2 linked regions of the Caenorhabditis elegans genome follow. The protein of the gene in region 2 interacts with the protein of the main gene of each other region in a pairwise test. Each region holds a gene or a part of one and is shown on either strand. Other genes may lie near its edges. The genes, in order: end-3 and srv-5.

The links.
Region 1: the proteins of srv-5 (region 2) and end-3 interact in a two-hybrid assay, tested with the Caenorhabditis elegans proteins (one large-scale study listed by BioGRID).

What each region holds. Positions count from the first base shown.
Region 1 is NC_003283.11:14,004,953-14,021,066, forward strand, and holds end-3 (GATA-type domain-containing protein), read left to right. Parts: upstream 1-9,742; 5' UTR 9,743-9,748; coding exon 9,749-10,004; intron 10,005-10,059; coding exon 10,060-10,149; intron 10,150-10,196; coding exon 10,197-10,452; intron 10,453-10,771; coding exon 10,772-10,898; 3' UTR 10,899-11,025; downstream 11,026-16,114. Other genes in the region: ric-7 (CRAL-TRIO domain-containing protein), read right to left, coding at 822-960; ddx-17 (RNA helicase), read right to left, coding at 4,148-4,199, 4,299-4,513, 4,559-4,656, 5,403-5,462, 5,508-5,853, 5,900-6,797, 6,848-6,864; aip-1 (AN1-type domain-containing protein), read left to right, coding at 7,627-7,684, 7,736-7,830, 7,878-7,952, 8,010-8,230, 8,278-8,335, 8,387-8,488; srh-308 (Serpentine Receptor, class H), read right to left, coding at 11,026-11,201, 11,245-11,548, 11,599-11,792, 12,306-12,624; mtl-2 (Metallothionein-2), read right to left, coding at 13,419-13,594, 13,652-13,667; T08G5.1 (Titin), read left to right, coding at 14,248-14,290, 14,335-14,403, 14,678-15,101, 15,145-15,229, 15,276-15,380.
Region 2 is NC_003284.9:4,243,586-4,260,400, forward strand, and holds srv-5 (Serpentine receptor class gamma), read left to right. Parts: upstream 1-8,770; coding exon 8,771-8,908; intron 8,909-9,005; coding exon 9,006-9,152; intron 9,153-9,204; coding exon 9,205-9,294; intron 9,295-9,439; coding exon 9,440-9,595; intron 9,596-9,644; coding exon 9,645-9,761; intron 9,762-9,932; coding exon 9,933-10,093; intron 10,094-10,241; coding exon 10,242-10,349; intron 10,350-10,403; coding exon 10,404-10,500; downstream 10,501-16,815. Other genes in the region: F48D6.4 (28S ribosomal protein S36, mitochondrial), read right to left, coding at 3,152-3,251, 3,303-3,431, 3,482-3,549; hlh-13 (Helix-loop-helix protein 13), read left to right, coding at 5,740-5,925, 5,986-6,092, 6,872-6,960, 7,008-7,069; taf-11.1 (Transcription initiation factor TFIID subunit 11), read left to right, coding at 11,592-11,713, 11,761-12,061, 12,112-12,198, 12,298-12,410, 12,681-12,824, 12,873-13,143; srv-6 (Serpentine receptor class gamma), read left to right, coding at 13,476-13,613, 13,663-13,809, 14,299-14,388, 14,434-14,589, 14,636-14,749, 15,025-15,179, 15,267-15,374, 15,425-15,509.

The sequences.
Region 1 (16,114 bases), on a different chromosome or scaffold from region 2:
TCAAATAGACTCGAATTGAGCCAAAATTACCGGAGTTCATAAAGAGTAAATTTCTTAAAAATATTTTTCTAACTGCCCAAAATTTTTATAAAAGGAAATTACTGGCTTAAATCACTCATTTTGACTACTTATTTTTGCGGTGAAAAGGAAATTATTTTGTTTTAATTTAATTCGAGTTTGCTTTGCTCGGCTTTTGGAATTTTATAGTTAACCATTAGTTACAATAAACTGAAAATGCAAAAGAGAGAAATAATTGAACAAAAATTAATTTTTGACCACTGTTACATGGAAATCTTGACAAAATTGGAAATTTCAGAAAAATGTTGTTTTTTTTCGAAATTTTGAACCACCATAGATATGTTTTTTATAAATTTTTAAGAAGTTCTCGTTATGAAATTCAGTAATTTGGGCCGTTTTAGTCTACAAAAGCAACAAAAAAAAAGCGGAAAACATTTTTCTTGGAGCTTGTATTATTTAAAACTGTATATTTCTAGTTTAAAACCTTTACGTTTTTGAGAGCATGAAATTTCTTGAAAGAGTTCCTTTTTTCCTGTTATTTCTCTCTGCATAGAAGTTTCGATTTCTGCTTTATCCCAAAAAAGAAACCAACAAAAAAAGCTCGTCGACCTATCTTTTTCGTGTGAAACCCGACACCTCATGGCTTCTTCTTCTTGCGCAGAAAAGGCATGAAAAGACATAAGAAACTAGTATTGTTTCTCTTTTATTCGATTTCTCATTTCCATTGACCCCATTCGTGGATGGGAGAAAGTTAGTTTCCAGTTTCAAGAAGATTTTGATGGAAAAAGAAAGAAAAAACTTACAGAAAACCGCTATAGAAGTGTTTGGAGCATCAACTGTGAGCCCAATCTGTGATATGATGTTGCCTGGACCACCGAGAAGACGGGCTTCGATGAATAGGCAGCCCGCCTCTGATAAGGTGTTTAACGGCAGGAGTGACATCTGAAAATACAGACATTTATATTTTTTATTATTTTAAAATGCTAAAAATTAGAAAAATCTTGAAAATAAACATTTTCGGCAGTTTTTCAAAAGAAAAAACTAACATTTCATTCGGAATCATCAATTCAGTACTCCTCCGACTGGCAATTGACTCCAGTTTGCATAACCTGTAAAACGTGAAACATTTTGGAAGCTTTACGGTGAAAACGAAAGAGAAAATGAACAAAAAGCGACGGATTTGAAGAGAAAAGTACTATATGTCGAAATTTTGGAAAATACGAATAGAAACATTTTTTTTTGAAAAAGGTAGAAGAAATGTTTCGATTTTTTGCCAAAAATACAGGTACTCGGTCTCGACACGACAAACTTTTGTTAAATGAAAAAGGATGTGCGCCTTTAAGGAGTACTGTAAGTTCAAACTTTCGTTGCTGCCAAAAAATAGTACTTTAATTTTTTAAGTAAATTTTTCAAATAAATACATCGTTATCGAAAAACTATGAAAAGTCGATAAATATTCCACAGCAACGCATATTTCAAATTACAGTACTCTTTGAAGACGCACATTCGTTTGTATTTTACAAAAAAAAAGCGCATAGATACCGGGCATCGTATTCTTGGACCAAAAATCGCAAAATGTCGCACCTGAATAATAGGAAATTAATAGAGATAGTTGTTTTTTTGCAATTTCAAATCTATTTTCTGGTCTGTAAAGTGATCCATGTTTACGGTTGTGTAATAAATAAATTTCTATAGAATGCAATTCTGATTTGAAATCAAAAGAACCAGAGTTATTTTTTATGATCAAAAGCTCAAAAATTCAGTAATCGACAGGTGAAACATAATTTCAGGCACTATAAAACCAGTAATTAGCTGTATAAATGTGAGTGGTCTGGAGAAAAAAAAAAAAAGAAAACAAGACAATTTTCCAGAGTGATGAGAAAAACGAGGAGGAAGGGGAAAACACAGAAAAAAAGTCTTCGGCCTCCGTTAGTATTGGCATTCTGCCAAATAGAAGAAGAAGACTGAGGACACGAATGAGAGAGGGGACCCGGCTCCCTTCTATTCACTTTTTCTCTATTTCTCTCTCTCTCTCCTATTCCGCTTAGACGGCTTCAGGCCGCCGCCGCGGAGAGAATGCGCGGACACTAGACATTTTCAGCTTCTATGTCTCTCACTTATTTTAGTGTGAGTGGAATTGAATGGGAAAGAAATGAGGGATTATGGAAGACAATGAGATACGCAGATGGAGAGAGATTCATTGGACTAATTCCGCAGAAAAGAATTCACAGGTGTGCAAAGTGTGTGCTTTTTTCACTACAGTGCTCTTCAGTGACGAGAAAAGTTTAACTGTGATGAACCAGATTACTACCGTGATTAGTGGCACGATTTGAGAAAAGAAAAGATGAACTGAAACCAAAAACTGGGCTTGAATGATTATACCGTAATCCTCACTTGTCTTCAGTTAGTTCTCTTGCTGATTTTAGCAAACTGAATACGGTTTTGGCGGTTTTTTTGGTAATGAATGGAGCCTTTCTTAATTTTCGTCTTTTGTTAAACTGAGACTTCAAAAGAACATGTCGTACGGCCTCAACAGACACTGCCAGATTCATCTCGCTCCTACTTTTCAAGCAAGTCACTGTTCAATTGGATGCTCGACGAACGATTTTTCGCTTGGGTCTGACAGAAAGAAAAGGTGTGCGACCAGAAGACTTTTTCGTGCAATAAGCGGCAGGATTGGAAGTATATCGAGTGATCATATCTCTCAAACGTTTCAAATCACGAAAAATATGACGATTCGAGAAGCCTTGAGATAATTTGGCACAATTTGTCCTTTTTCGTAGTCAGTTGAAGTTATTCCACGACCCATAGCTGTAAAAACACAAACGAACATGAAACTTAACGTTTAGCAAAAAAAATTGCAAAGAAAACGAAAAAAGAAAACAAAAACCAAAGGTGGCCGTTTCATTTTGTGGATTTTTTAATATGGTTTTTCATGAAAAAATGGTTTATCTTTTTTACGAACGGTTCAGGTATATTTCCAATACTTATCTGAAAGTAAGTTAGTACAGCGAACATTTTCACAAGAAACTATGTTTTGCTATCTCAACCCAGTTTTGAGTTATACCAAAATTTGGGGGTGGCCGTATCATTATGTGGAGCACTGTAGATACTAGAAAAAATTTATAACATTTTTCTAATTTCTAATGATTTTTTTTTCAATTTTTTTAAATGGAAAAGTGGCCACCAGAAATACGATTTTATGGAAAAGTGGCTCTAGGGCCATTATATTTTTAAAATTACAGAAATATTTTGAAATAAATTCTCTAAATACTTTTAGCTTTATATTAATGAAAAACTTAGTTTATAAACATATAATATACAAGCTCTACTGCAAAAAGAGTTGTTTGCTCACCATGTTCGAGAACAAAAAGCTTCCACTTCCGGTACACATCTGTCAATTGCCATTGGGTCTCGAAACGATCATGTCAGTTTTTTGTTCAAGTTTGCAAGGAAAAAAATGCGATTGGCCTAAAAACTGACGCAATCGTCTCTACAAAAGATCAATTGTCTGTGGCGCCCCGCCAACGAGAAAACTGTACTTCAATGCCGCCCATCTATCTCTCACTTTTCACATATCGATTGCAATAGAATAGACTGAATTAATAGAAAAGAAGGTCTCGAGAAGAAGAATTTCAATGCCTACAAGAACTGACGAACACAGAACCTGAAGAGCCTGTGTCGTTTTAAGGATACAAAAATGAAAAACAAGAAATCCGCGTGCCAACAATAGGAAAAGACAAAGAGCAAACAGGAAAAGTGGGGGACAACAGCCAAAACACAAAAATATATTTCAATTTTTTCCATCAACATCAATATTTATTTTCTTCAAAAGATCTTATATTAAAGAAACAATCTTTGAAACAAAACTGTTTCCATTGCAGCCGAGTTACACAAAACGCAATGATAAAACTAGATGGATATTATTAAAAGTTTGGAGGGAGATGACAGTTACTGATTAAAACAAAAATAAAATATGGGCACAACGCTCAAAAAAACAAAGAGTAAGAAAGTAAAAAGTAAAAAAGAATAAAAATGAGGAGAAGTTCAGAGTTCCATTAAAACCGAACGAACGAGATCTGAATTATCGTTTAAATGTCGGAAGTGAGTGAGAAGATATGTAGATCGTCTACCATCGGCCACCTCCACCGCTGCCTCCACCGTATCCTCCGTTGTCATATCTGAAAATTACAGGATTTAATTTTATTCGAAATTAGGTGCGATTTCAAAAATCCGTTATCATATTCCACTTTTTTATTTCTAATCACAAAAACACGTACCGTGGCCTCTTTGGAGCAAAGTTATCGTTTCCTCCGTATCCTCTCTTCTGGAAACCACCACCTCCATAGCGACCCCTTGAGTTGCTACCTCCGTAACTGCGGTTTGCCATATCACGAAGAGCTTGTGGAACAGTCTGCTTAGCCTCATCGAGAACCTTCAACAGATCCTTTGCCTTGGAAGCGTTTGTATGAGTGAAGAAAGTGTAGGCGGTTCCCTGAAAAACAAATCATGAAATATTGAATTTTCTCTACTAATTTACCTTTTTGTCACTACGACCAGTACGACCGATTCTGTGAACATAGTCTTCAGAGTTGTTTGGATAATCATAGTTGATCACGAATTTGATATCATCGACATCTAAAATTGTTAAATTAAAATTACTGTAAAACAAATTAGAGCAAAAAGCGTGAACGACGCTTTCTCTCAACCAGGTGAACCAAGAAGAATAAACACGAGTGAACCGAAACAGTGAATTGCCATTTAAACTCCTCTCTCCGGATAAGCCGGGAAATAAATCCATTCCAATAATTTTTTAATTATTAACAGGTTCCAGATGCGTATAAAACCTAGTTCACCAGGTTGAGAGCAATCACCACAGGGAGACCGCCGATACAACTCTGACTAAGCTATACGTACTTACGCACCTGAACCCAGAATTCTAAAGATGGGAATGGGGAAGAGGAGAAAAATTCGACGGAGTCACTGATGAGTCATCGGAACAGCCTGCACAAGCCACAACAGCACTCAATGTATATGACTGCAATACTGGCGGCTTGCGAAACTGAACCGCTTTCTTCGACTCGATGTGTAGATTTCATTCACAGAGCACCAGAAGGTACTCTCTGCCACTACACATCTGCAACGTATGATATGATAACGTCACAAGACGCTGCCAAAATCAACTGCATTGCATTTCGATCAATCCTCTCGGCCAAATCAAGTTGGTGTAACTGTAAAGGGTCAAATAAATCACAAATATGGCTGAATACCATGCTATTGTAACGATTGTCAAGAAAACTGGAAGCCAGAAACTCCTGAAACCGACTTTTCTAATATGTGACATCTAAAATTTGACCCTTTCTAGGTTGGCGCGACAAACTAACCCAATCCACGCGCGGCAACATCGGTGGCCAACATGATTGGTGTTTTTCCTGCTTTGAATTCTGAAAAATGTATTTATAACAAAATAATTGGTAACTTTAACTAACCTTGAAGAACCCAGTCTCTTTCTCCTTGGTTTTTGTCACCGTGAATACAGAGAGTTGGCCATCCATCGCGACGCATAGCACGAGTCAATTCATCGGCTTTCCGCTTTGTCTCAACAAAAATAATGGTTTTGCATTCCTTTTGATTCATGATATGATTGAGGAGCTCCATGAGTTTGGCTTGCTTTGCATGTTCTTCGAGAATATCGACGACTTGTGTGATGTTGTGATTGGCAGCGAGCTCAAGGGATCCGACGTTGAGGAAAGCAGCGTCTTTCTGGAAATCTGAAGCCAACGCACGAACTTCCTTTGGCCATGTGGCGGAGAACATGAGTGTTTGTCTGTCTGGCTGAAAAAATATATATTAAAACACAATTACAACAGATTCAACTTACGCGAATCTGTCCGATGATTTTCTTGATTTGTGGTTCGAAACCCATATCAAGCATACGATCGGCTTCATCAAGAACCAAGTAAGAGCACTTCTTCATGTTGGTAGTTCCGTTATCAAGGAAATCGAGAAGACGTCCCGGAGTGGCAACAACGATATCAACTCCACGCTCGAGATCACGAGCTTGTGGTCCTTTGGATGCTCCTCCGAAGAGACAGGTCATCTTGAGTCCTAACGAGTGGCAGAAATCGATTGATACTTCTTGAACTTGTTGAGCCAATTCACGAGTTGGAAGCAAAACAAGAACGGCTGGTCCTTCTCCGCGTTGACGGTGAGCCTGTTTTGTGATGTGGACGAGAGCTGGGAGCATGAAGGCAAGTGTTTTTCCGGAACCAGTTTTGGCGATAGAGATAATATCACGTCCGCTCATGGCAATCGGCCAGGAGATTGACTGAATAACTGTTGGTTTCTGGAACTTTCCGTACAAAAGCTCGTGAATCTGTCCTGGCAATGGTGCCTCGTTGAATTCGAAAACCGGGCGTGGGACACCACGGCCTTCGAGAGTAACTTGATTTGCTGATACCCATTGATCAATCTCATACTGCTCACGGCGGGATACGGCTGCATTCTCGTGATAGAAATCCTTCTCAATCGGAGTAAGGTTCTCGGCAGACCAGTCGACATCGCGAAGGCGTCCTCCAGCTGAACCATTGGATCCTCCACGACCTCCTCCACGGCCACCGCCGCCATAACCACCTCCTCCGTAGCCTCCACCGCCACCTCCTCCATATCCACCACCACGACCACCGCTGTATCCTCCGCCGCCGCCACCACGGCCTCCACCTCCATATCCTCCGCGGGATCCACCACCGCTGCTTCCTCCATAGCTTCTAGAACCTCCGCTGAAAAAGAAAAACAATTATGCACGTCAATAATCGATAAGTCAACTTACTATCCTCTGTCTCCCATTGTCTTTTTTATATGAGTTTGAAATGCGAACTTCTGGTCGTGCAACGGCTGCTGCGAAAATAAATATCGACTTCGATTAGTAGACCTCTCGTTTGGCTCGTCTTCCTTTGATACAGAAGCACGCGCTGACGAATTACAAGTTTTAAATTGATTCGCAGCGCTGAGAAAACGAGTAGCAAACGAGAACGGACGGATTGAAGAGACCCAAATTTTCGACGAAATTCGGTTGTTTTACCCTATAAAACACAAGTGGGGCCAAAATAACCAAGTGAGTATTTTGCGTCACACCGTGCAAGAAGGGGGAAAAATAATGGGAAAAACAACTTTTAAATCGTTCGAAAAATCGAATTTAGAAAGAAAAAACAGAAAAAGATGAAAGGTTTTGGGACAAATGCGAGAGACGAAAATCAAAAAAAGCGGGAGAAGGAGGTGCAAAGCGGTTTCGCTGTGAGACCCACCGCACGTTTAATGTCATGCGCCTTTAATCCAGCTGTACGCAGTGACGTCACGAAATACTGAAAGCGTCACGTTTTCTAGCGAATCAGCTGATATTGATTTCAAAAATCTTGAAATTGAATTATTCAATTTTTTCTCGTTCTAAAAAGTCCAAAAGCTTTCAATAATATATAAAAATCAATAATTTCGTAACCCGATGTCTGGCATTTCTGGTAAATTCTAGAATTTTTCCAATTGTCATCATTTCTTGTGTTTAAAAGTCTATATTCTCTCGTTTCCTATCAATATCGTTTGCTTTATTCAGCTATGGCGGAGTTCCCAAATCTCGGAAAGCACTGTGAGAGCACAGTTTGCAACAGACTTGGTAAGTCAACATTTAAAAAAAATTAATTAAATAAAAAAATAATTATTTCAGATTTTCTTCCAATCAAATGCTCCGGTTGTGGACATTTCTACTGCTCAGAGCACTTCACATTTGAGGCTCATAATTGTCCGACTGGCTCAAGAATTGTAAGTGTTTGAAAATCTTTTTTTAGATTAAAATTATTAAATTTCAGTCCGTTCAAGTTCCTATTTGTCCTATATGTGAGAAGCCAGTTCCAACGCCGAAAGATGTCAATGTTGATCAACAAGTAATTATTTTGAAATTATTCCTGCAAAAATATTGATAAAAATTGTTTCTTTTTCAGGTCAATGAGCACATTCAGAACAATTGTCAGACTCCGAAACGTGCAAAAGTATATTCAAACGCGTGTACCGTCCCAAAATGCAAGAAGAAAGAGCTGGTAGCCATGAATTGCTCAAAATGTCGAAACAACTACTGCCTTTCTCACAGACACGAGCGGGATCACAGTTGTGAGCGAAAAGTTGGCGAAATGAAGATAAATCAGAAAAAGAGCTGGACGGATTCGTAAGTTTATTGTTTTGAATAAATCGAATTTCAAGGTATTTTTCCAGAATCACATCAATCGCGCGTTCCCGAATGAATCCATGTTCCGCACAAGCAAGAACAGAGGTTTGTATCTATTTTCAAAAAAACAACTAACTAAATCACAAATGTTTCCAGGGAGATGAAGCTCTGGCTCGTTCTCTACAACAAGAAGAATACAATCGAGTTGCACCGCCGCATCAAACAAGAAATTCCAATTCCAACTGCACCGTCTCATAGCATCCAATTTAGTGTATATTTATTTCCCTTCTCATATTTTCTGTACAATTTGCATTTCTCTTCAACCTTGTTCTAGTTCATATCCGTGTCAAAACTTTTATTCATTTCACTTCGCCAACTTCAGTCCTACTAAAATATTGATTCTTTGTACAATGTTGAATACTTTTTCTTTTTTCTTGATATATGAAATTGTTCACCTGCTTTGAACTGTTGTTAATGGGTGTTCTGGGGTTCACAAAGTAAAATAAGAGTTTTGCAAACTTTTGACTGAAACGAAATTTGGACTTTTCAAACATTTTTTACCTAATTTTGAGAAATGCATCTTTTGGCTCAAAGGTGAGACTCACTGTGTAGGTCTCGACGCGAACAAAAAATATTTCGCGCAAAGGCGTGTGTTCCTTTAAATAGTACTGTCGCCAATTAATTTTTGCAGTTTCTACAGTATATCCCACGTGGTGTCAGAGTGTCCCATATCGGTTTGATCTTCGTAGATCTACGGGAATAGCGGTAATTTGACGCAGATTTCTCAACTACCAAAAATATTTGTTGGTTGAGAATTGAACAGAAAAAGAAGAAGAAAATACAAGCATGTCGAGCTTTACACAACTTTATCTAATAAATATTCAATTAATTTGGATCAGTTTTCTCTTTCAGCAATTACAAAAAATTTTGTTCCGTTAAAATTGTGAATGATTGGATTTGGAGAGAATCGAGTTTTTGGAAAAATAAAAAACAAGAGCAACGTGTTATGGTATTATTCATGTGATCTTTTAAAATGCAAACGTGTATTTTAATTTAATTGTTCCCCTATCAGAACCTCTCTAAATTTCACGTGTTTCAAATTCCCTCTTTTTCTCTCTACTCTTTCACTCTCGCACGTGAAAAACTTCTTTCCGAATGATAATTTGTGTTTAAAATGGAAATTTTATTGAAGTAAAATTTATGAAACAAATACTTTTAGTTTAAATCCGAGATGCACTTCTATTTGAGAGAGCCCACGGTAAATTAAAAAAGAAGTAAAAGTATACCAAACAAGTATGTTCCAAGTGTTCCGATGGCTCCGACAAAAGAGTATACACTGATTGTATAATCGGTTAGATGAATAGCTGAAAGTATACCACGTTCAAAGCACACCCCGCCTTGTGTCTCTTCTAGAAAAAGGCGGTTGCTGAAAAGTATACGGAACGCTGAGGCACGCCCTCTTCTTACCATGATTTGCTCCAAGATAAATGAATAGGCATTCTCATTCAAAGTATAAACATGTACTCGAACTCATTCTCTTCATCATCTTCATCTTCCAACTCACCAATGTCTTTTGATTTTGGATTCCCTCAGTTTCCCGAACAAGTCCAATTCAATGAAGAAGGCTACGGGACACCATCTCCAGATGTCCTCCAGAATATGAATTATCATCATTATCCGGCACAAGATATGACGACAAATTCATACAATGGAGGCTATGACAATTCAATGCAACAGAATTTTATGCAACCAGATAATGGTGCAGGATACTACAGTGAGTTTTAAAAAACTATTTTATTTTACTTTTATATTTAAAATTAATGTTTCAGATGAAAACTATCAACAGATGCCTGATTTTCAATTTCCAGTTCAAAATTTTGATTTTACAAATCAATTTGAATTCACGACGCCTATTAATGGTATAATTAACTATGAAACTTACAGCCTAATCTTAAATTTATTTTAGACCTCCAGCAATCTCAAACTTCCATCAACCACACCAATCCCGACAACAATGAAAATTCCATGCCAGAGATACCAATTGACGGGGGCTTCAACTTTTTTCCAGCTCAAGAAGTTCAAGAATGGAAGCCAGCTAGAAAAGCTTCGAAAAATAAAATCAAGAAGATTTCCACAATGCATATCAACTCTTCGTGCTCCAATTGTGGATGTCGGGAAACGAAATTGTGGAGGAGAAATGAGCAAGGAGAAACTGAGTGCAAGTAAGTTTGAATTATTTTGAATGTTCTATTTAAATTACGATTACAGTCAGTGAGAAAATGTTTAAAAATCATTCCTATGCTGATAAAGTTACCAGATACCGCAATGAAACTTTTTATCATCTTTTTGAAATGTTTTATTCATGTCGAAAAGTAGTAAAAACTCTTTTTTTAACCACTTATCGAGAAATTCAAAGCATTGTCTGTTTTTTGATCGACGATTTTCAAAAAAAAATTGGTGGAAATTTTTTTCACTATTTTTTGAGGGCTCTCTAGGTGTAAAAGTTTTGAACTTGAGTTTTTTAAATCTCATATTTTTCAGTCCGTGTAATCTTTACGAACGAGTCAAAGGACATAAAAGACCACAACATCTTTGGAATAAGCCAGCTGCCAAGAGAAGACGCCGTCCAGTTGCTCCACTTGTTGACTCTAATGCTTTTAATTTTTGATTTAACTGATCAACTCTGTGCAATAAGCATTATTATTTTTCTAATCAAACATGACCTTTCGGTTATAATTTAACTATTTGTTTTATTTCCCCTCTGCTGGTTTCCATAATAAATAAATAAAAAAACTTCATGCTCTTGATACTACAGTTTTCCAGATCAATTGTGAATTTCGAACAGCTTGTTCAGATTTGAAATGTAGTGTTGCAAGAATTGATTTCCTGTGTGGAGTGTGAACAATAAGCATGACTATAGTGGAAAGAACTCCATGACATGCAATTGCAATCATCGCAATGTTTGTGGCAGCTGGAAAAATGATTTTTTTTTTCAAATTTCAGCTTAATTTTACCTTGATTATAGTAATCATTTTCCGAAGCCATGACAAAATATGAAACTGGTAATGAGATGAATGCAACTGGAATAAATATTTGAATACACATTGAATAGAAGAATTGCTTTTGTAAGCGAGCAGTAGTTGCCGAGAGAGACACTGTTTGGGAAAAGTATCGAAAAATTGCTCCGAGAAAATACAATTTTTGGGGAAGACATATGAAGAACATGCTCAAAAGACAGGCATTGACTATTGTATTATCAGTGGCAAATACAAAATATTCCCGACGATTGAGAACTTCATTTGGAATACATGGATTTATCTGTAATTCACTTTTTGGTTAAAGCTTTCAAAAAAAAAACGAAAACTCACATTTTTCACATATTGCTTTGCTACTTCAGGATTCGGTAGTTTTAAATATGCGGGAATAATAAACGTCACTGATATAGTATAATTTAATACAACATATAAGGTACGTTTCCAGTTCAGTGATCCGTTTGTTGTATGCCCATGTATTAGTCGGTGATAGCGATCTTCGAAGAATATGGTTACAGCCACGCACATCACTGAAATATATTGAATTGTTCGGTTCCTCTCAAATTGAATAATTTAAAAAGGAATAGTAGCTTGAAAACCCTAGAGTAAACATTAAATTCGTAACTTGGGGAACTTGCTGTCAAACTTTGGCAGTTCTCTGTCCAACCTTCCAACAAACTTAGTCAATCTTCTGCCAAACTTTGGAAACTTTTGGTCAAACTTAGACAACCTACTGTAAAATTCTGGGATTTTTCTCTCAAACCTTGACAACTTACTCACTCTCGGAAGTTACAAAGGTTCGACAGAAAACTGCCGAAATTGGACAGAAAGTTGTCAAAGGTGCGTTGCCAAAATTTGGCACGAAGTTTTCTTTAAATAAAAAGCCAAAGACATCACAAAAAAATTGGGAATCAAATAATTTGTTATTGAGATTAGATTAATTCATATCGAAACTGAAAACATAATAAAGCTTCTGTTTTCAATAAGACGTTTTATATTTATTATACTATTACCATTAGTTAGCCAATTCAAAATAAACTAACCCCCAACAAAAACACATCCAAGATAAACCTGAACATCAGTTGGAATACCTAATATTAAAGAGAATCCAAGAGGATATCCTGAACTGACAGGTAGTGTTAGCATTGGAGATGCAATAAAGCTTAGATATAAATCGACGATTGCTCCCACAATGTGCAATAAGACCATGTTGAACTTTACAGAACATATTTTGCGCGGAGTTTTAGTTAAAATAATATATGCTCCGAACAATTGAACGGTCACTTCGATGGCTGTAGGTACGTGAAGAATTCCAGCATAGAACTCATCAGTCGCAAATAAATTAATATCCTCGGTGCACATTTTGAGGTATTGAGGTAATAAAGTAAATCACGGAGAGAAATTAAAAAGGGATAAAAGCTCATAATTTAGCTAGGAAACGTTTTCACCTGTTCTAAAACTGATCACTCAATAGGATAAGCTTTTCGCGTCTGAGATCTTTTGCACATGTTCTTTGGTAGTTTCCATCTAAACCCATTCAAACATATGAGATCAAAAGTTAGTAAATACTTTAAGCAAATTTCCAACAAAAAAATTCCAAAAATTTCCAAATGTTCGAGATATTGAAAATTGATAACCTCATTAAAAGTTTGGGCACAATTTTTAAATTTTCAGTCGCACTATTTGTAGTTTTTAACAATTTGGTTGATGCATTAATTGATTTATTAAGTGAAAAGCAGCTGAAAACAAACCACACAAAAATGTTTTTTCCTGGTTCTGAGATCTTTTGAATTAAGAAATAACACCTGACCCATTTGGGTCAAATGATTTTTCGTAATTTTCAAAATTGTCTTAACTTGATAAATGTTTTCCACTGTCTATAAAATTGATAATGGATTCAGTCTGTTCGGAAAAAGATTTATATTTTACTTGAAAAGGAACAAATCGTGTGAAGATCAAAAGTGATGATCAAAAGTTTTCCTTGAATTTTATCGCGATTCCCATAATTTTTGCTTCTGGTCGTTGACAAGGAAGACAGTTTAAAAATCTAAGAAATTACAATAAATATTTAACATTTATTTCAGCTTTCAAGAAAAAACCTCGAACAATATCAATTAGTAGGAATTTGTTTCAAAGGGAAGAGTATTAATTTCAAATTAATGAGCAGCCTGAGCACATTCGCAGTTGGCACACTTGCATCCTCCGGCACATCCAGATTTGCAGCATTTCTTCTCACTGGCAGTTGGGCAGCAGTATTGCTCACAGCACTTGGCGTCGGAGCAATCGCAATCTTTAGTTCCGGTGTTGCAGGAACAATTTTGGTTTTTGCAGTCTGGGAAAGGGGGTTTCATTCAAAATTAATTAAAAGCGTAATGAAATTTCAACTTACCACACTTGCAGACCATTTTTGAGTAGAGCCTTTGAAGCTTGATTCTCATGTCTGCTGGTAGGCCTTTTATATAAATTTTCAAGCGACAACCTATTTGAGGCAGCTGATAACAGCACAAGCCTATCACAATGTACAGTCACTGATAAAAGCTTTGAAAACTTCATTCAAATTTATCCAATTCTTCTGAACTTTATGAAGCAGTAAGTACATTGCGTGCACAATTATTTGGATTTTTGAAAATAAAATTTGATAGATTTTGAGCTATATTCTGAGAAGTTGAATTTTCCGTCACAACTCTAGTTTGTGATAGAGGCCTTTATCAGTTAGGTGTGTGAAGTCATGCCTCAAACATACTTGGTCACCTGCAGTACATAAAATTTCAGGTACAAACAAGATTACGGTAATTACTAGCTTTTCCTTGAAAATTAGAAATGAAACATGTAATTTTCCAACTACTGTACTTTTTAGAATAAAGTAGTCTCTGATCTACTCAGCTTCAGCTCATTAGCTATTCCATCAATTATTCTCACTTCCATGGTTACATCCCACGTTTGTTTCGTTCCACTGAACCATTTTCGTCTCTTTTTGTATTCTCTATGGGACAAAAAAGTTCCAGAACCGCTCCAGAACATGTAGAAGGTTTGAAATATTATTTAATTTAGAAAAGAAAACTGAGATTTCAGAAGATAGACATAGCGCCTGGGGAAGTGATATTGATGAAACATTATGTGGCCCAGGAACTCTTTGTGCAGGTTTGTAATTTTATTGTTTAACTTATGTTTAACCGTAATTAAAAAATTACCAATGTCAAATAATACTACACCGGTAAAGCGGGGTCCCCAAAAACAACCCTTCTGCGGCTGACTGATGAATAGGCTATTTCGGGCCAGCGGGCAAACTTCGAGGCTTGCTATTTTAATCCTGAAACAATTCCAGGCAGAAAACAAGAAAAAATTCTTCCTCCTTTTAGACACTATCGTGATATCCTGCCTTACCCGTAAAAGTGATTCAATTTTAAAATTTCAGACGACTGGACCCCATTCAACTCTGTGCCAACAAGCCCTGATTCTGTCAGAAGGCGCTTTAGTGAAGCTCGTCTTCAGGAAGATGTTATTACAGAGCAGCCAAGATTATTTGACAATCATTCTCGTGAACAAGATGACGATAGAATGATGAATTACGAAGTGATGACTATTCGGGAAGTTGAATCACCGATTATTCTACCTGGTCCAATTTACACAACGGAAACACATAAGAAGAAAAGAAAAGTGAAGAAACAGCCAAAGCGAATAGTTAGAAGAAAAATGAGAAAGCAAAGAAATACTTCAACTTCTCGAAATACTCAAAATAACGAGGATGTTACTGTATTAAGAAACTTTAATAGTATAAAGCACCATCAAAAACCCAGAAACATTGCATATCGTCCAAGACATCACTCCAGAAAAATTCGGTGAGCTCTGACACTCATTACACAACCATTTAAAATTTTTCAGAGTACATCAAGACCCACGTTATCCAACAATTCCTCCACCTACTATCAACTATGGTCTTAAATTCAGGAGGTGCCATCCGGATGATGTAAGTTTTGTGGATTTTATAGGCTAAATAATTCAAAATTTTCCAGAAAAATCGATTTGTAAAAGCAGTGCCACCGAGTCATCTGAAAGGAAAGTCAATATCCGCAAAACAACCATTTAGATATCGGGGAATCCCAAAAATTATAATGTGATTCCTGCTTTAATTTTTGAAAGTTGTATAATCAATTAAAGAATTTGAGAGCTCAAAAAATACCTTTTTACTTTTATAAAAGAAGAACAAATGAATATTTTATATGTAGTCACGTATAGATAGTAACACAAAATTAACGAATTTAATAACTAAATCTGAAATATAGAACTACAAACGTCTCTAGTATAAAAAGTAATCTGGCGACCACTGTTTTTTTAGAAATTAGAAACTTGATACTGAACCTTCAATTAAAATGTATAGTTTTGAGTTTAGCTTGTACTTGAAAAAATAATTTATTAACATATCCATGCTTGAAGTCGAGAATTCAAAAACATGTGATATCGCTGATAAGCCCTCATATTGCACGTGTTCCGAACTTCTTCCATCGAGCAACTGCTCACAGATTGAAGTTTTGAGCATTTCAACTCATGAAAGATTCTATCTGAAAGATTTGAGAAAGTTTTGAAGGCTCAACCTGATCCCAAATATCAATTTACCACAAACAGACAAAAAACTCAATAAATTTGCCAAATATTACTTTTTTTGAAATTCTACAATTCTTTCTAATTTCCTCATTTGAATTGCATCTGAATTTGACTGAACCACACTTATTTTCCCGTGACTCACTTTCGTTTTTATCATTTTTGCAACAATTTGTTTTATTTTTTGATATTTTTGATATTTTTTATTAGAGGGAAATGTATCACAAAATAATTTTTTTCACAGAAAACTCTA
Region 2 (16,815 bases):
TTTGTAGCTTGCAAACAAAGCCCACCGAGGGTCACCGAATATTTGATTTATGCGAACTTTCTGAGGATGAACAAAACACTCGCGCGGGAATTTTTGGTTTTTGTTGTTCAAGACTTGTGAATTTGCAATAATTGTTTTCTTGTTTCTTTTATTCTTTTTTTTGTTGTTCATTTTATCTGTTTTCAAGACTAACCTGAAACTGCAAAAACAAGCTGCTTCCAACTTGAAATATCTAGAAAAAAGCTGGAAACCCGGAGGGAGGAACAAAAAATTTGATTGATTCAAAAACAGAACTGAACAAAATATAAATGTATAGACACTGGCTGAAAATCAGAATTGCAAAAGATGGAATTTTTTGGAAATTTTGGAGTTTCGCCGTTTAAGTTAAATCTTCCGGATTTTCTGAATCTATAAGTGGAATAGGATCTTTCATAAATAAATTATAATACATCACAGGTAAATTCAGATCTATCAACTGTGGCAGATCGGATTAGGTTTTATCTATGACAGATAATATTCCAGCGATGGAGTTCGAGGCAGGTCATAAGAATTTTGGATTCTATTGTTGGAATCAGATATGTTGTAACTTGATTTTGATCTACAACAAGCGGATTATGATCAATCAGCTGTGGAAGATCGGACTCCAACTATGGAGTCTAGAACATTTTCTGACTCCTTAGGTGGGATCTGATATATATGATGCATTATGATCTACCACGGATGAAATGTGAACATTTAGCTGTGTAAAGTCGGAAGACCAGATTTCGCCTATAGAAAGTAGGTTTTTACCTGTAGAGTCCTACCAGATTTTTACCAGAATAACAAAATGATTTGCCACAAAAGTACTAACAAATAATTAAGAAAAAATTCACTTTTTCATTAGAATACTCTGATTAAAGTTTTGAATAGTTAAAAATTATGTCTGAAGTTTTATTTTCCATTACAAATGTTGTACTATTCTTTTCCAGATTTTATATGTACCGGTCAATTTTTTGTTTTTCTCGTATTCATTACACCCACGCGGAAAAAATTAGCTTCTCTACCCTTCAGTGTTTTGTTGTACCCCGGTATTCTTATCAGACAAAAGGGCACTGGTGGGTATTGTCAGATTTTTGAACCATGTGACTTTGAATCGACCAAATTTTGTAGCTTTGTAGAATAAAAAAGAACAAAGTCCAACAACGTGATCCATTCGACTATCCGCAATCAAAAAGCGACCTTGTTTGAAATGTGTCCATAAATTTTGGAGGAAATTGCTTGACCACACATGCATTCACCAAAAGAAAAACCACAACATCAACCATCCCAATTCTCAGTTTAAGAAATAGAACAAACAAGTGAAAAACACAGCAGCAGCAGCAGCTGATGGTTGATTGTAATCAAAAATATCAAAAAAGAAAACAATTCAAACATTATATTACACTGGGTATACTACATTTGTTTCCCCCTTCCCTCACTTCATCCTGATGTTTTTTTCAGAAATATCTATCACCAAAGAACATTTATTCAATTTTCTGCTCGAAAAACTCTAAATTGACAACCAACAACATTTTGAATTTCCTTTGTTCGCAATATTTCAGACACGTTTTTAGGGTTGTTTATGAAACACTGGTTGCCCGGTGATAACACTTGTTGCCACCTCAAACATATGTGTCTAAAATTAGTTAGATAGTATCAAACAGCTGACACAAAGAACTATCACAATTATAGATGAATCTGCAAGAAGGTTACTTGTTTTGGCTGACTTTTTTTGAATGGCAAGTTAGGAGAATCGCGTGATGGGAATAAACAGATAAATATGGTGAGCCGAATGTGCATCATTTTGTGGGGTGACTTTTTGTTTTATTTTTTTCACGTCGTTTCGTTGAAAACTGATAAGAAATAAGCGGGAAAAAGTGTTCGTTGAAAACCTAGTCTGATCATTTGATATTAAAATTCCAAGAACAAAATGGACAGTTGATATTACAAGAAAAAGAGTTAAGTAAAGACATACGGCACGTAAAATGATAATTTGGATAAGATAAACTCTGAAAACTGCAAAACAAAGGCGTGACAAAAATTTTGGTTAAAAAGTTTGTAAAAAAATCAAAATTTAAAAATAGTGCCAGAGGGGAAAATTAACAAAAACCACTTTTATGGTGTCAAAATTATCAAATGTTATATTAAAACTTTTCAATTTTTTTTTTGAAAAATTGTTATTGGAAGTTATTGTAGCGATAACTGTATTCTTGACATTTTTAAGAAAACTAAAGCACTCTCGCATGTTTGAATTCTTACAATGGTTTGATATTAATTTTCGACACAAAAGTTGATCATAAAATTTTAAGGAAAATGTTTTCTTGACCGATGACTTCCAAAAAAGTGGCAAAACTTAGTGATTATCAGTTATTGGAACATAATATGAAATTTTTATTTTGGCACCATAGAAGTGATTTTTAATAATTTTCCCACTGGCGCTACAAAATATTATATCAAAATGTTGTTGCTGAAAAATGTTCTGAATGAAATTTTCGAGGTGCTAGTGGTACCTCATAAAACATTTTTGTTGCTAATTTGAGGTAAAATATACATTTTTCAAAGTTCTGAAATTTTCGACGAGCATTAAAAAAAACATTCAAAAATTGAGGTGCCAACTTGTTGTTACTACATTTTGTTGGACAATTTTATCGAAAAATGGTTCAAGTTAAAATGTTAATCTTCCAAATTTTTCTCAGATGACATCCGAAATATATTCTGCAAACTTTCATATCCAGACAACAACCGGTCCCCCGTATTTTCGGAAGATTGCGAATTTCTCTCTCAATTTTATCTTTTCAATCCCTGCTGCCAACAACACAACACACCACACGTGTTGCCTTTTGTTGCCGATGAAACCTGATAAATTTTCAATGGACTTTTATCCAACACTTTCACACATTTGTTATAGTTTCAGGTTTTTTCATGTGTTTATGTCTTTATCGGCAGCAGTCACCATCAAGTAGTCGTTTATTTTCAAATTGTACATCGGCAAAAAATCACAAATAGAAACAGTGTAAAGTGTAAAGCAATGTGTTTTCAAATGAAGAGAGTACAAATGTTCCTACTCTAGTACAATATATTAATTAATTACAATCACATCTTGTAGATGATAGAAGTTGGGAAAAGAAATTATTTAAAAACGAAGGTTTGTGAGCTTTAGAAAAGCGCATTGTCGGTCTTGTTCTTCTTTTATCAACTTTTCGCAGTTCAATTGAATGAAGTCGTCACTGTTTCTGGAACACTGAATAACCTAGGGATTTTTGATAAACTACAGCTATACTTACGGGTTCGACACTTTTTCGGTTTTTGGGAATCCGAATTTCAAGTGTGTCGATTCATCGTGAATTCGGATGTTCATTTTTGGCTGGTCCATCATTTTTGGCTCTGCTGGGCGGAAGGTGGCTGAGCTGATTCTGAAATTTTCAATGGTTTTTTAAAAAGATTTTTACTATCCAAAACTTACGCTTCTCTTGTCATGAATTGGTTGAAAACTGCAGATTGAGCAACACGGACAAGTTTTGGAGTCGACATTTTCAAATTGTTTGTGTGTATTTGTGAAACTGAATATCAGGTGGCTGATGAGAGGCTCAGTCTTCAATAGCCTGCTTTTATACGCGATCTACGCCAAAGAGGCGGGGTGGCGGCTCCGATTATCGGGGCGAAGACGGCGAGGACAAAGTATACGATCGGTGATGGGAAAGATAAGAAATAGTGTGGGGAAGCGGTGGAGATGCGACCCGGCCCCTTTGGTGGGAGTATGAACAGGTACTCTTATTATTATGTTCTCCAATTTTGGTCATTGTTTTTGACAAGTGATGTCATGCCACGTAGCAACAACCGAAAGTTTGCGAGGGGAGTAAGGTCCGAAGTAAGGTCCGCAGGAAACAATGAATGAAATGAAGGGATCATAGATTATTAAGGGAAACTGATAAGGCACAATGAAAGGCAATAGTAAATGATCTAAAATAAGTTCATGTTCACATTGACTAATTGGAAACTGAACTATAGTCAGAGGAATATTGTGATGTCATTAATTCTTGGATTAATTTTCTATTCAACTGATTGGAACAGGTTTTTTCGACCAAAGATTATTTATTATCACTGAAAAATGACCCATAAAGTGTTCGTTGGGTGTTGTCAGAAAGCTAGTGGAAAATGTTGTAAAAAACTAAGTTAATAAACTAACTGGTGATGTTGGAAGTTACCGAACGCGGAAACCTTTGGCACCTGGCAACTGTCGGCTGCAGGAAGTACGGCAACTTTGCAACAACATGGCATTCAAGTTGTCTAAGCTTAGATCTTTTGTATATCATATTTTTGTCTTTTTTTCAACTTTTCGAAAAACATTTCTCACAAATACCTGAAGTTGTTCCTCAGAAAAAATTGAATAAATCCAACAAAGATAATCGAAAAACTTTAGATTTAATGTTTTCAGGTCAAGCTGATCTTCTGAATATAACTTTTTTTGCGCCCACGCTTCCAAGAGCCCAGAAGCTTAGACACTTTTGTTTTGTATGAACAGTTGAATTTAGTACTGTACTTTCATGCACAAACTTTCAGATTTAGAAGTGAATTTTTTGCCATCTTGCAATTCACGCCTTTTGGAAGGTACAATAAACATGATTGATGCTAGAAAAACGTGGAAATTTGCTGGAAATGTTCTATGTGAACAACAACGCGTACATCTGACCTGCAGAGAACAGGTGTCACTATTTGGACCGTGATCTTGGCCACCGATCTTTTGAACCTTCTCGACGAAAACGATTTTCTAATAAACAAACATCATTTGTGACTCTAAAAGACCAAGTATAAACTGAAAATTCGTCACATTTTATAAAAGAAAACAGTTCAAGTAAACGCGGAAAATATCAGCGTCTGTCAACGGCCAGTGGAGTTAATTCGAGGACATGTTGTCAAGACCCCTCACTTCTATAAATAGTAATAATCTTTTGTTTACATTCTTCCAACGGACAATTTAATATTACTGTATTGATAAATGATGGAAGTTGAGGACAAAATAAAACAATGAAAACGTCAAAAAAGGTGTTTTGCCTGTAATAACTTTTATCTGTAAAACTTGTGTATCAACAACTCTCGGTTCGAGCGAAGATTGCTTCCCAGAAAACACTTGATCACAAGTGCGATGTTGTGGAAAACAATTCGAACCGGTTCCGATTTTTCTCGATATTTTTGCAATGTAGTCGCACAATAAAACAAATGTGTCTGGGTTTTACATTGAGGCTTCAGTTTAGAATGTTTTTAGAATGTGACAAGAAATTGAAGAAAAATTATCTTGTTGAAACAAATTAGGATAAGAAGATTTGAACACTTGATAACATTAATTTTACATAATGAAGTTTTGGTTTTAAGCAAGGGTCTTTACAAATCACGTTCAGTTTTTTTTTAAATCTCATTACAAATTTTTACAAATCACTGGCGTTAATTTATATTCAGGAATACCCTTCTTAATCTATGATAGTGGAAAACTTTGTGAAGAAAACTGTTGGGTGACATTTTGTTTTTAACTGCATCAATCAAAAACGTCAGTTTTCAAAAATGCATGTTATACTACTTTGCCCGAATTTAAATTCCTCGTACATATAACTCTCAACCCATTCGTCTCTGTCTTTCAAATGCAACACGTCAGCCTGTTGCCACCACCCGGCCTCTTTTCTAACGGACCAATTACAATTGTGAATTCGAGCAGAACCACTTATGTAAATGACAGCTTCATCTTCTGGGTGTGGCGGTTTACCAGTTTCCCAGTGTCCCTCTTATTCCTCACTTTCAAAGCTCTTCTTTATGGATTCATCGTATGATTCATATTACTGCGAGGAGCCCGAGGAGCGACAAACTGCTTCAATTCGTGAGAGGAAGAGAATGTGTAGTATTAATGTGGCATTTATTGTAAGTTCAAAAAAAAAATTTTTTTTTTTGAGGTATTTCTATTTTTAATCTAATTTTCAGGAGCTCCGCAATTATATTCCAACATTTCCTTATGAAAAACGGCTCTCTAAAATTGATACCTTGAACCTGGCAATTGCATATATCAATATGTTGGATGACGTTCTGAGGTGTCTTTTTTTGTTGTATTTTGTTCCGTGAATTGTTGAAACGTGAAATTCATAAAAAACTTATGCTATTGATGAAATGTAAAAAGTTGAACTATAATAATAGGGATTAAAACTCGCGATTTTGAAAGTCTATGAGTTTTCAGAAATAATTTAACAAAATTGGTTATATATCCAATACTGTAAAAAATGATACCTAAATTTGACAGCATATTGAAAAAAATTAAACATTTTTCAGTGTTTTTCTTTCTAATAATATTTTTAGTTACTCCAAAAGTTTAATCTAAAAAAAAATTTTTTTGGGAAATTTTGAAATAGAAAATTAGAAAATAAATGTTCAATGAGTTTTATCTCACATGTATTTCTTGAAAAAAAAGGGTTGGTTTGATGTATTTCTGAAATTATCTAAATGTTCAACTTTTTGTTACAGTTTTCAGTGTTCAGTTTTTTCCGTATTTTGCGATTGCACCAAGTACGACTAAAATAACAAGGAAGTTATTGCCACTTTCATTGCTTAGTGAAATAGTCTCATTCTCAGAATAAATCAGGTTATTATGTTTCGAACCGGAGTGAAAATTAATAAATAAGAATTGAAAAATCTTTTGGGTTACTATAAAATGGATTATCGTAGTTCTACTAAAATGTTAGAGTCAACTATAATTGCAAACGAGAACTTAAGGTAAAATTTTTCAATAAATGTAGAAATAAAATTTATAAAAAACCTTTGAAGTTATGTGTTTTGGGACCTTTTTTTTGAAATTCACAAAAATATTTAATTCCAGAACACCCGAAGATTCTGGTCAGTATATTCAAAAGTGTGTTCATATGGCTCGCACAGGTCAAATCGGTGCACCAGCGTGGAGTACAAGTGGTATAGTCACAAACTTGCAAAACCCGGAAAAAAAATCAAAAATTCAGATTTGCTAGCCCGGCTCAATTGGATCAAGTGGCGTCGTCTTGGAATCGAGCCGATTGCCTAAACAAACTCTGTGTATGCGTAAACGGCAGAAAGCAAAATACCTTTTAATTGTATTTTCCACGAATACAACTCATGATTTTCTATCTTTCATTTCAATAAACATACTGATTACATTTATTGTGCCATTTCTTTGAAAAACCTTTAAAAATCTTACAAAACACATCTAGATTTTATCGTAAACTCTGGAACCTAAAATTTTCCTTTTCCAAAGCCTCAATTTTAAAGAAATTTCAACTAGGAAATGTCATGCGTGACTCCACCTACATATATAAACTTCGAATTCTTTTTCTGACTTTGATATTCTTGATCTTATCATCTTCACGTTTCTGTTTCATTGTACTTTTTTTTTGAAATTAGAGAATTTTTGAAATTCACACGTTTTTCCACAAAATTCATTTTCAGTTCCATTTCGGTTCTTACACAAAAACCAATGAAACTACTTTTATACAAATTTCTGCATAGGTTTTATCGCGTGTCTTGTTGATGCCATATTCTGAAACCAACAAGTTTTGCGATCAAAAATGAGCGTTTCATAAGAAAGAAAATGCGAAAAATGACTATTAAGAAAGCGTTATTATATGATTAAACTGCCACCGATAACGACTTCCATTCCGCAAAATACCTTACCCGCGCAACTTATAATAAAATCAGTTCCAAGTCTAAAACAGATTTCATTTTTTCACGGCTTCCAGTATCCGCCTTTGCCTGCACTTTTTCGAGCAAGCCAATTTTATGACCACCTCGTGGTATTCTGCATAACTCGACACAACAATAAATTATAAAGTTTGTTGTTTACATTGTTTTATCTTACTTTTTCAGTTTAACTGATATTTCTGAGCATAATATTTTCGAGTAATATTAAGTTTGTAAAGTTTAGTTTTTAATACATAATTGTACTTTAACAATTCTTCTAAAAAAAGAGAGTTCATACAGAGCAACTGTTAATACTGTAAATAGTAAAGCAATTGTATGTGTAAATGTAGGAAAACGAATCTTGTTTGCTCATATCATTTGAAATCATCAGATTTTCAAAATATCACTCAAAAAGCTGTGTATTATTCTTTGTTCACATGAAATCTGGAATCTGCCAACGCAAAATGAGTAACAAGAAAAATTTTGGGTGCGCGTCTATAAGCTTTCAGAAAAATCCTGCATGAAACTAGGATTTTCTCCTGTTTTACTTTTTTTTTCTAAGAATACTTTTCATCAAGAAAAGTAAATGGTGAGAAACACTAGAATAACTTCTTGAGGAAATCACTGGAAACTTAAAGGTGCACACGCAAAATTTTCCTTTTTTAAAACCACCGCATATTTCTTTGGAAAGTTTTTTTGTTTATTGAATGTAAACAGTACGACGGTTGCGGTATAGTTATAAGTTATAGGTCCGAGCAGGTGTTCAGACTCCGTTCTCTAATATTTCTTTAAAGTATTATTTTTCACAAGTGTTCCAATAGAAGTGGAAACAATAAAAGCAATGAAAAATATGGGGATAACAAGTCACTTGGGAATTCACACTAATGTATCACCTTCTAAGAAAAAAAATCACATAACAACTATACAGTTTCCACTTATTAACTATTTTCATACTTATTTAGTTTCGTGTTATAGTTTTCATAGTTTTTTAATTTGTATTAACATTACCAGAAACTTCACTGCACCATAAAACTTAACACTACTTTTCTATTCAATATTATTTCAGATTATGCCGGCTTTGCAATGGTTTTTATTCATTTCCAGTTTAATTTCAATTTTAATTTACACTATGATCGTTTTCACTTTAAAACGTCATCGATCAAATGCTCTACTTGGCGGTTCCTTTTTTAGAATTGTGGAAATGCAGGTAGATCTTTGAAATATAAGTAAACATCACACTTGATCAGAAATTTCACCAGAAAGAAAATTATATTATGGAGAAATATCAAAAGATTAATTTTCAGTATTATGCGGAACTATTTTTCTTCGTCGAATTTTCAATCACCATGCGCTTCAGAAAATATAGCTCGCTTTATGCATTTTTCGAGCCAGACACGGAATTTCACGGTATCATTCCGCGTATTGTGTCTGGATTTCATTATTATATTAAGGTAAGGTTGAATTCAAAAATTACATTTTTCTATTTTTTCTATTTTATTTCAGATTGTGGTATACATTGGGTATCTAACGTTTGCTCTGAATCGACTCACTTCCGCACTCAATATATCATCATATAACAGTGTGAATATTTCAGTATGACATTAACTTTCAATACTTAGCCCTAGTCTTCTTGATCTGTCAATGAGTTTCCTTCGTGTGTCATTATCAGTTTCAACGTGGTTTTGCATGTTTTTCAACCAATTCAAAATTACTCATTACAAATAAATGTTTTTTTCAGATTTGGACTCCAAAGCTTTTACAGCGAGTCAGAATAGTGAAATGGGCACTGCCTTTAATAGGAATTCTACCAACTCATGCTTGGCCGGGTTTTACTTATTGGTTTATGATAACTTCTTCATCTATACGATTAACAAATGATTCCTTATCCACAGCGGTATAATGCTTACTGAGAATTTGAGATAATAATTACTTTATAATTTCAGCTTGTTGCATACGTTGACGGAATTTGTTGTCTTGGAACGTGTGTTTTCTGCATGATTTGCTATACTGCAACGTGTTTCTTGATACGGAAAAATTGGAAACGTGTGAAAACTGACACGGTTTGTTGAGTTCAAAGTTTATTTTGGTAAAACTTTAAAGAACGATCCGTTACCACTTTGGATCAGAAAGTCAGGAACAGCCTCCCCAGGTGGTGCTTCCAGCTATTGTCGTCCTAACATAAATCAAAATCTCAGCCTTAAAAACATTTAGAAAAATATCTGTACTTTAAGGTATTCCGAAAAAACAATGCACAATCTGCTGCAGAAAGAAGTCTACTTGTTTCCGCCATTTTATCATTTATCGTGTTAATATTGAACACTGCTGTACAAGTTGTTACCATTTTAATATCCTGGGGTGGTGCGACAACATTACTTTTTGTTCAAGACCTCTCGTAAGTCATAGTTTTTCCAGAAAATTGTCATCACAAACCAGGAACTGGAAAAAAATTAATCTCATTCGACCTTCTAGAACAAACACATTAAATATATAAGAGTGTTTTGCTGTGCCCAAACAGCTGGTGAAACTTTAATAATTTTCAGATATCCTATGATTGATCTTATGTATTCCCATTTTCCATGGGCGTTATTAGTCACGTCGGGAGTTCTGAGGAAGCAAATGATTTACGATACAAAAATTTTCCTACGAACGTAATATTTATCTGGTGAAGGGTAGCATCTTTCAAAAAATGTTTTAAATTTCAGGGCTTTCAAGCTTGACGATGCATCGGTGAACACAATACGGGTTGGGCATACTGTATCTCCCGCCACACAGAAAACAACAAATAGGACGCTGGCTTAATTGGTTTACGTGTAGTTTTAGGCACTTTTGAAACAGCATTGTCACTGTTAACTATTGTTTGGAATGTTGTTATAAAAAATTTGAATGTGTACTCATTTAATTTACAACTGAATTATGGGTTTAGCTGAATTTTTCAGGAAACAAAATGTTTTTTACTAAGGAACAACGGAAGGTCCAAAGAATTTCATGAACAATTACAATGGGAAATTTAAATTCACATTGTGAAAATTTTTTTACAGCGACTTTCTCATAATAAAGTCTAATTTTGAGCAAAATCATTAGAGTTTTGAACTCACCGGTTTTTACTACCTTGTTTTGTAGTAAACTTATCAGAGTGAACCCAGTTTGGCTTTTGTGAATGAATATAGCAGTTGCATGATCAAGACCCAATGATGTATGGGAAACACAGTAAATTAATGCAAATGGGAATGCAATGTATTGTCATTGCAGCGGATGTGGCAAGATCACCACGCATCTCCAAAAACCGTATTTGGAATTCTAATTTCAAGTATCAGTGTGCTAATTTACAAACAAATAGTTAGTTTTTGGTCCAAAAGTTCACAAAATTTTATTTAAAATAGTACTGCTATATTTGAATGATTAGACTATTTGAAATATTCTCAAATGTTTTCATGGTACACGTGTTTCAAGAACTCACATTTTCAGTGAACTTAATGTCTAATTTCTGCTTTTTCAGATTTTTTTTTGTTGATATTTTTGGATTTTCGAATTCTCAAGTTTCATCAATTAAAAAAAAATTTAATGAGTATGAAATTTGTTTGGTAAAACAAAAAATCTCCAAATGTTAATCCTCTTATTCCTCCCAACCATTGTGTTTCTCAATTAGACAAATCGTCAGTGTCTCGAGTGCCCTTCGTCAATCGATAAACTGACCTCTGTCTTCCCAACCAACACACTGAGACGCGCTCTCCACACAACGCTGGCCTAGAATTCTCCATTGCCGCGTCCTCTCGACTGCACACACATTCAAACACACACTCTTTGCCCGGTTTAATACAGTTTTGCATTTTTCTCACGAATAACGACGGTTTTTTTTTTCCATTTTTTATTGTCTGTTTTATAGAATAAAAATGAATGCCAACGATTTGTTTGGTGGCCTTAGTGAGAGCAGTGGGAGCAGTGACGAAGACGACGACACTGTGATGCCACAACCAACAGGCGCTCACAATGTGCTTGCAGATTTGGAGCTCAGGTAATCTTTGCTTATATTATTAAAATTATATCATATTATTTTTTCAGCGATGACGATGGAGATGAGGATTTTTCAAGAGATGGAATGCGCTCTGACGAAAACCAAATTTCGCCGGGACAGGAGTCCGTACCAACTCCGATCACACCGAGAGCACCAGTCGTCTTTTCACTTTCCGACGGAGAGGATTCTATGGATATGCCGGACATCGACCAGATGATGATGAAACGGAATGCCGCTGCTGCCGCGGCCGCTGCTGCAGAAGAGCAAGCTGCTCGAGAAGCTGAAGCTGATAGAGTTGCGGAGGCGAACAGAGCTGCGGAAACCGCCAAGACTGCTGAGAAGCGAAAAGTGAGTCATTTCTTGTTTCCCGACGATGTATAATTATAATATAATTGTAGATTGATAAAATTTCAAAAAGCGAGCCACCAAGAAAGCAGCCACGTCATGATGATAACTCTGAAGCTGGGCCCAGCGGGCAGATTTCGGTACGTAAAATCTGTGATACTTAACTAATTCAAAAAGAAATGGACTGAATATATTGGTTACCCAATATTAATCGCCGATGAAACACTTTTCAATTACAGGGAGACGACGACCTTCTGGACACAAACATTTCGCTGGAAAGCTTCGACTTGAGCAAAGTAAACGATGCAAGGTACCAAGCATTGATTCAACAACATCAGCCGGAAGAAGAAGCGTAAGATTTTATAGAAGAAGTATCGATGCGTTTATATAAGAACAAAAAGCACCCAAACGGACAAATTTCGTATGGAGACTTCTCAAAAACTTCCTCAAATTTTTTTGACCGTTCACAATCTTGAGAAAACACTAATTTTAGCCAACATTTCCAATTTTGCAACGTTTGCGTGTCGCAGCAGTATATAAATATAAATGAGTAGAATCCAGAATTAATATAACTCCTTTAACACGCTGGCACATTCGATTATCTAATTTATTCATTTTTCAGGCCTGGCCCCTCACGTCCAGCACCAGCTCGTCCAGCGCGGAAACTTGACGATGAAGAAGAAAATGAGCTTTCGCGATTGAAGACACAAGTTTTGCTTTCCAACTTTTCACAAGAGCAACTGGAAAGATATGAGTCATACAGACGGTAATATTGGTAATAAAACACAAAAAAATAATAAATGATGAACTTCAGCTCTTCATTCCAAAAGTCGACTATTCGCCGTTTGATCAGTCAGTACACTGGAGGAGTGAACGTTGGACAGAGTGTGGTCATCGCTATCGCAGGATTGGCTAAGGTGTTCGTCGGTGAAGTTGTCGAAGAAGCATTGGATATTCGTGACATAAATGAGGAAGAAGCTAGCAATCCACTACAGCCGCATCATATTCGTCAAGCGTTCCTCCGGCTCGGAGAGCAAGGAAAGCTATTCCCACCAATTGGTCCGAAACAATCCCATCTTGAGTGAATAATTATTTTTCTTTGGTTTTCCGTTTCATTTTTATTGCTTTGTTTTACATATAATCAGATTCTAATGAAAAAAAGTAATCACTGACTGCCTATGTGGAAACAGAAAACTTTAAGTTACATTTTGACCGGAAATTTGTTTCTCTGACATTTCAAAAAATGTCACGTGCACAAATATCAACATAGAACTAACTAGAAATATATCTAACCAACTTATTTTTTCTGAAAGCAGTGATCAACAATTTGCCGTTACATAATTGTAGATGTCGGCGCAGTTTAGTTTGACACGGACACTCGCCAACTCTCAATGTGCTCTGACCAGTCTGACTCGCGATGCCTTTGGAGCAAACGTTGCTTTTCATATTAGGCCTGATTTCAGCTCTTTTATATTCAATGATTGTGAGAACACTTAGAAAACATAGAAAAACATCTCTTCTCGGAGGAACTTTCTTCAAGCTTGTTGAGCTGCAGGTATAATAACTTTCTCCTAGAAATCTTTTTTATTAAATACTCTTTACAGTTTTACGCTGAATTAGTTTTCTTTATCGAATTTTCGATCACAATGCGGTTCCGAAAGTATACAGATTTTTACATGCTGTTTGAGCCAGATACAGTATTTATTGGTATTATTCCGCGAATTATTTCTGGCATACATTACTACATTAAGGTATATTTTTTAGTGATCTGGAAAACGTTTTCAAAAATTAAATAAATCCGCCGAGTTTCATAATCAGACCTTGAGAAGTCGTTAAAAGTCGTTAAAACATAGTTCAAAAAAAGAGTAAACTATGAATAATGCGGTAATTGAGCTTACTAGTTCTCCACGTTTTTGTACGTAGAGACTCCGGCTTTTTTGAGAAAATGTATGTTAAAGCTCATAAGTACCAAAATTCGTCATGCTTTGTGCACCTGAAAGTCAACAAACTATTATACAAACACCAACACAACCCGTAGAATTAACGATTAAAATGTGCAAAATGAATTATAAATTTATTAAAAATTATCTTTCAGCTATCTAGTATAGGCTAGTAAAAGTGGAGGTTATAGCTAAATTTTAACTTTTTCTGTTCAATTTTTTGAATTTCGGAGTTATGTAAAAAGCAACTAACGTAGCTACTTTGCTAATAAAAGTAATCAACAAATGCACATTTTCCAGCTTGTTGTCTACATAGGTTATTTGTTTTTTGCTGTTAATCGACTTTTCACCGCTTTGATGGTGTCTTCATACGACAAGGATAACATTTCGGTTTGTTGAAATTCCAAAATTTTCAATATTTATTATGTCTTTCAGGTATGGGGTACAAAAACATTGCAGCGGATAGCCATTGTTCAGTGGTCTATTCCAATTCTTGGACTTCTGCCAACACATGCGTGGCCCAATTTTGACTTTTACCTTCTCATTACTCCAACTGCAATGCGGCTGAATAACGATGCAGTTTCAACAGCGGTATTCAAAAAAAAATATTAGTTGAAAATTATTGTTCAAACTTCAGCTAATTGCCTACATTGACGGAATGTGTTGTTTGGTGACTTGTGCATTTTGTATGATTTGTTACATTATAACAATGATACTCATTAAAAAGAATTGGAAGAAAAGCTCAAACACGGTACAAAATTTTCAGATTTTCAAATCAGAGGTGCGCGGCAATTTTTCATAATTGCCGATTATCGAAGTTTTCGAAAATCGGCAAGCGCTAAAATTTCCCAAAAAAAGTAATATTTTCTGCAAATTTAGGCGCTTTTAAATTTGTTTTTATTGTTCACTTTTTAAGTTGAAAATTCAAAAACCATCGAATGTTTTTTTTTTTCATATTTGGCAACTGTTGCAACTGCCCGAAATTTCCAATTACTGTTCATCCCTGCTATACCATTCAATTTTAAGGTCTTCAAGAAAACAGGCGCAACTGCAGAACGAAGCCTATTCATTTCTTCATTTTTATCGTTTTGTGTCCTAATGCTAAACTTGACTGTGCAAATATTGAAAATTTGTATTTCTCTGGGTGGAATGACGAATATATTTTCAGTTTACGATGTTTCGTGAGTTTATCCAAAAACAAAAACCGTGACTTGTCTCACTAATCCCGGTAGTTGAAAATCGTTGTAACTCTGAATTATAATTTGTAGGTATCCCATGGTGGACTTAATGTACTCACATTATCCTTGGGTACTTCTCGTGACTTCATCTGTTCTTAGACGTCAACTTATATACGATGTGAAGATGCTTATAAGAAAGTAAGTGGATTTTTGTGTGCGTGGGGGTCATAATGAAGTTAAACTTATAGCTCACTGAAACTGGACGAAGCATCAATGAGCCTGTCTCGTGGCGGACAAACGAATGCCGTCTCAAAAACGACACCTGCAACTTGACCAAACAATTTTCGCTTTCGTTCTATATTTGGAAGAATAAAGACCACTTTGTTCTCATGTTTTTTATCTAGGATGCAATCTTTTTTCTTATTTCACGGTGTTTCTCTTTTTTTTCCCGATTTTTTTCCTGATTCTTCAGTGGCTGCCTGCATAATTGCATAATTTCATTAGTTTAGTTTAGTTTTTTTTTAAATTTAATTTTTTAAGCAGTATGGGATAAACTGATTTTTTAAATGAAATTTTCAAGGCTCTGTTTACAGTATAAAAAACATGGCAAAATCAAAAGGATTTATTATGATCCTAAATATTCAAATTCAAAAATTTCCGAATTAGAGGCGATTCGGGCAGAATTTTATTTCAGACTTGTTTTGTTCAAACCAGTATCTATCGCTTTGGATTTTCTGGAGTATCACAAGTGAGGGATGCACTTGAATATAGTGCTAGAAAAAGCAAACATTCTAGTTAAACTTTTGAAAAATGTCGGACATTTTTTATTGTGTTCATTTAAAAAGTTGAAAAAATCCGTTTGTAATTTTTTTACAATTTTTATACTAAAGTTTAGCTCCTTTGTATCTGAACATCGTAAAAGTTCAAACCAGCAACATTACTTAAAATTTCACAAAAAGTCCAGATTTCTTGAACATTTTGAATTTTTTGTTATGATTTTTGAGTATTTATTTGTGATAATGATGTTAAACTGCAAATCTTCAAAAATAATGCTAAAGCGCTAAGAGACCATTTTGTAAAAATTTGGCGCCGTCGTAGAACAGAAGTAGAAGAAGAAAAACAGGCAGTATTAAAGTCGTCTATTCAACTTTAACAAAATTTTTAACTCTCGTCTATGTTTGAAGCTTGAGATATAAATTATTTACATAAACATAATACATAAATATAAGCCAATCAAAAAAAAATTCGAAGATTAATTCAATCATTTCCGCCAATTTACTGATTTTTATTCAATTATTCGGGGTAGGTACACAAATTTGTCAAATATTTGGTTTCTATCAAAAAAAAAACTTGTGTTCACAAAATAACGTGAATCTATCAAATTGTGCTAAATAGGAGAATAATCAAATTAAACAATCTTTTCAGCCGCTTACAGGATTCCAAAACTGAAGATTTTTTAAAAGTTTATATTTGATGTCAGAAAGGAAAAATTACACAGCACAGAACTATTCAATTTATCCAAAAATGCAATGTTTGATTCATTTTGTTTTGCAAATTTTTTTTTTTAAAAATAAAGTTATATGGACATACATATAATACACATGTTTTCTGTTGTAAGCGAATTATTATCCCTTGTATA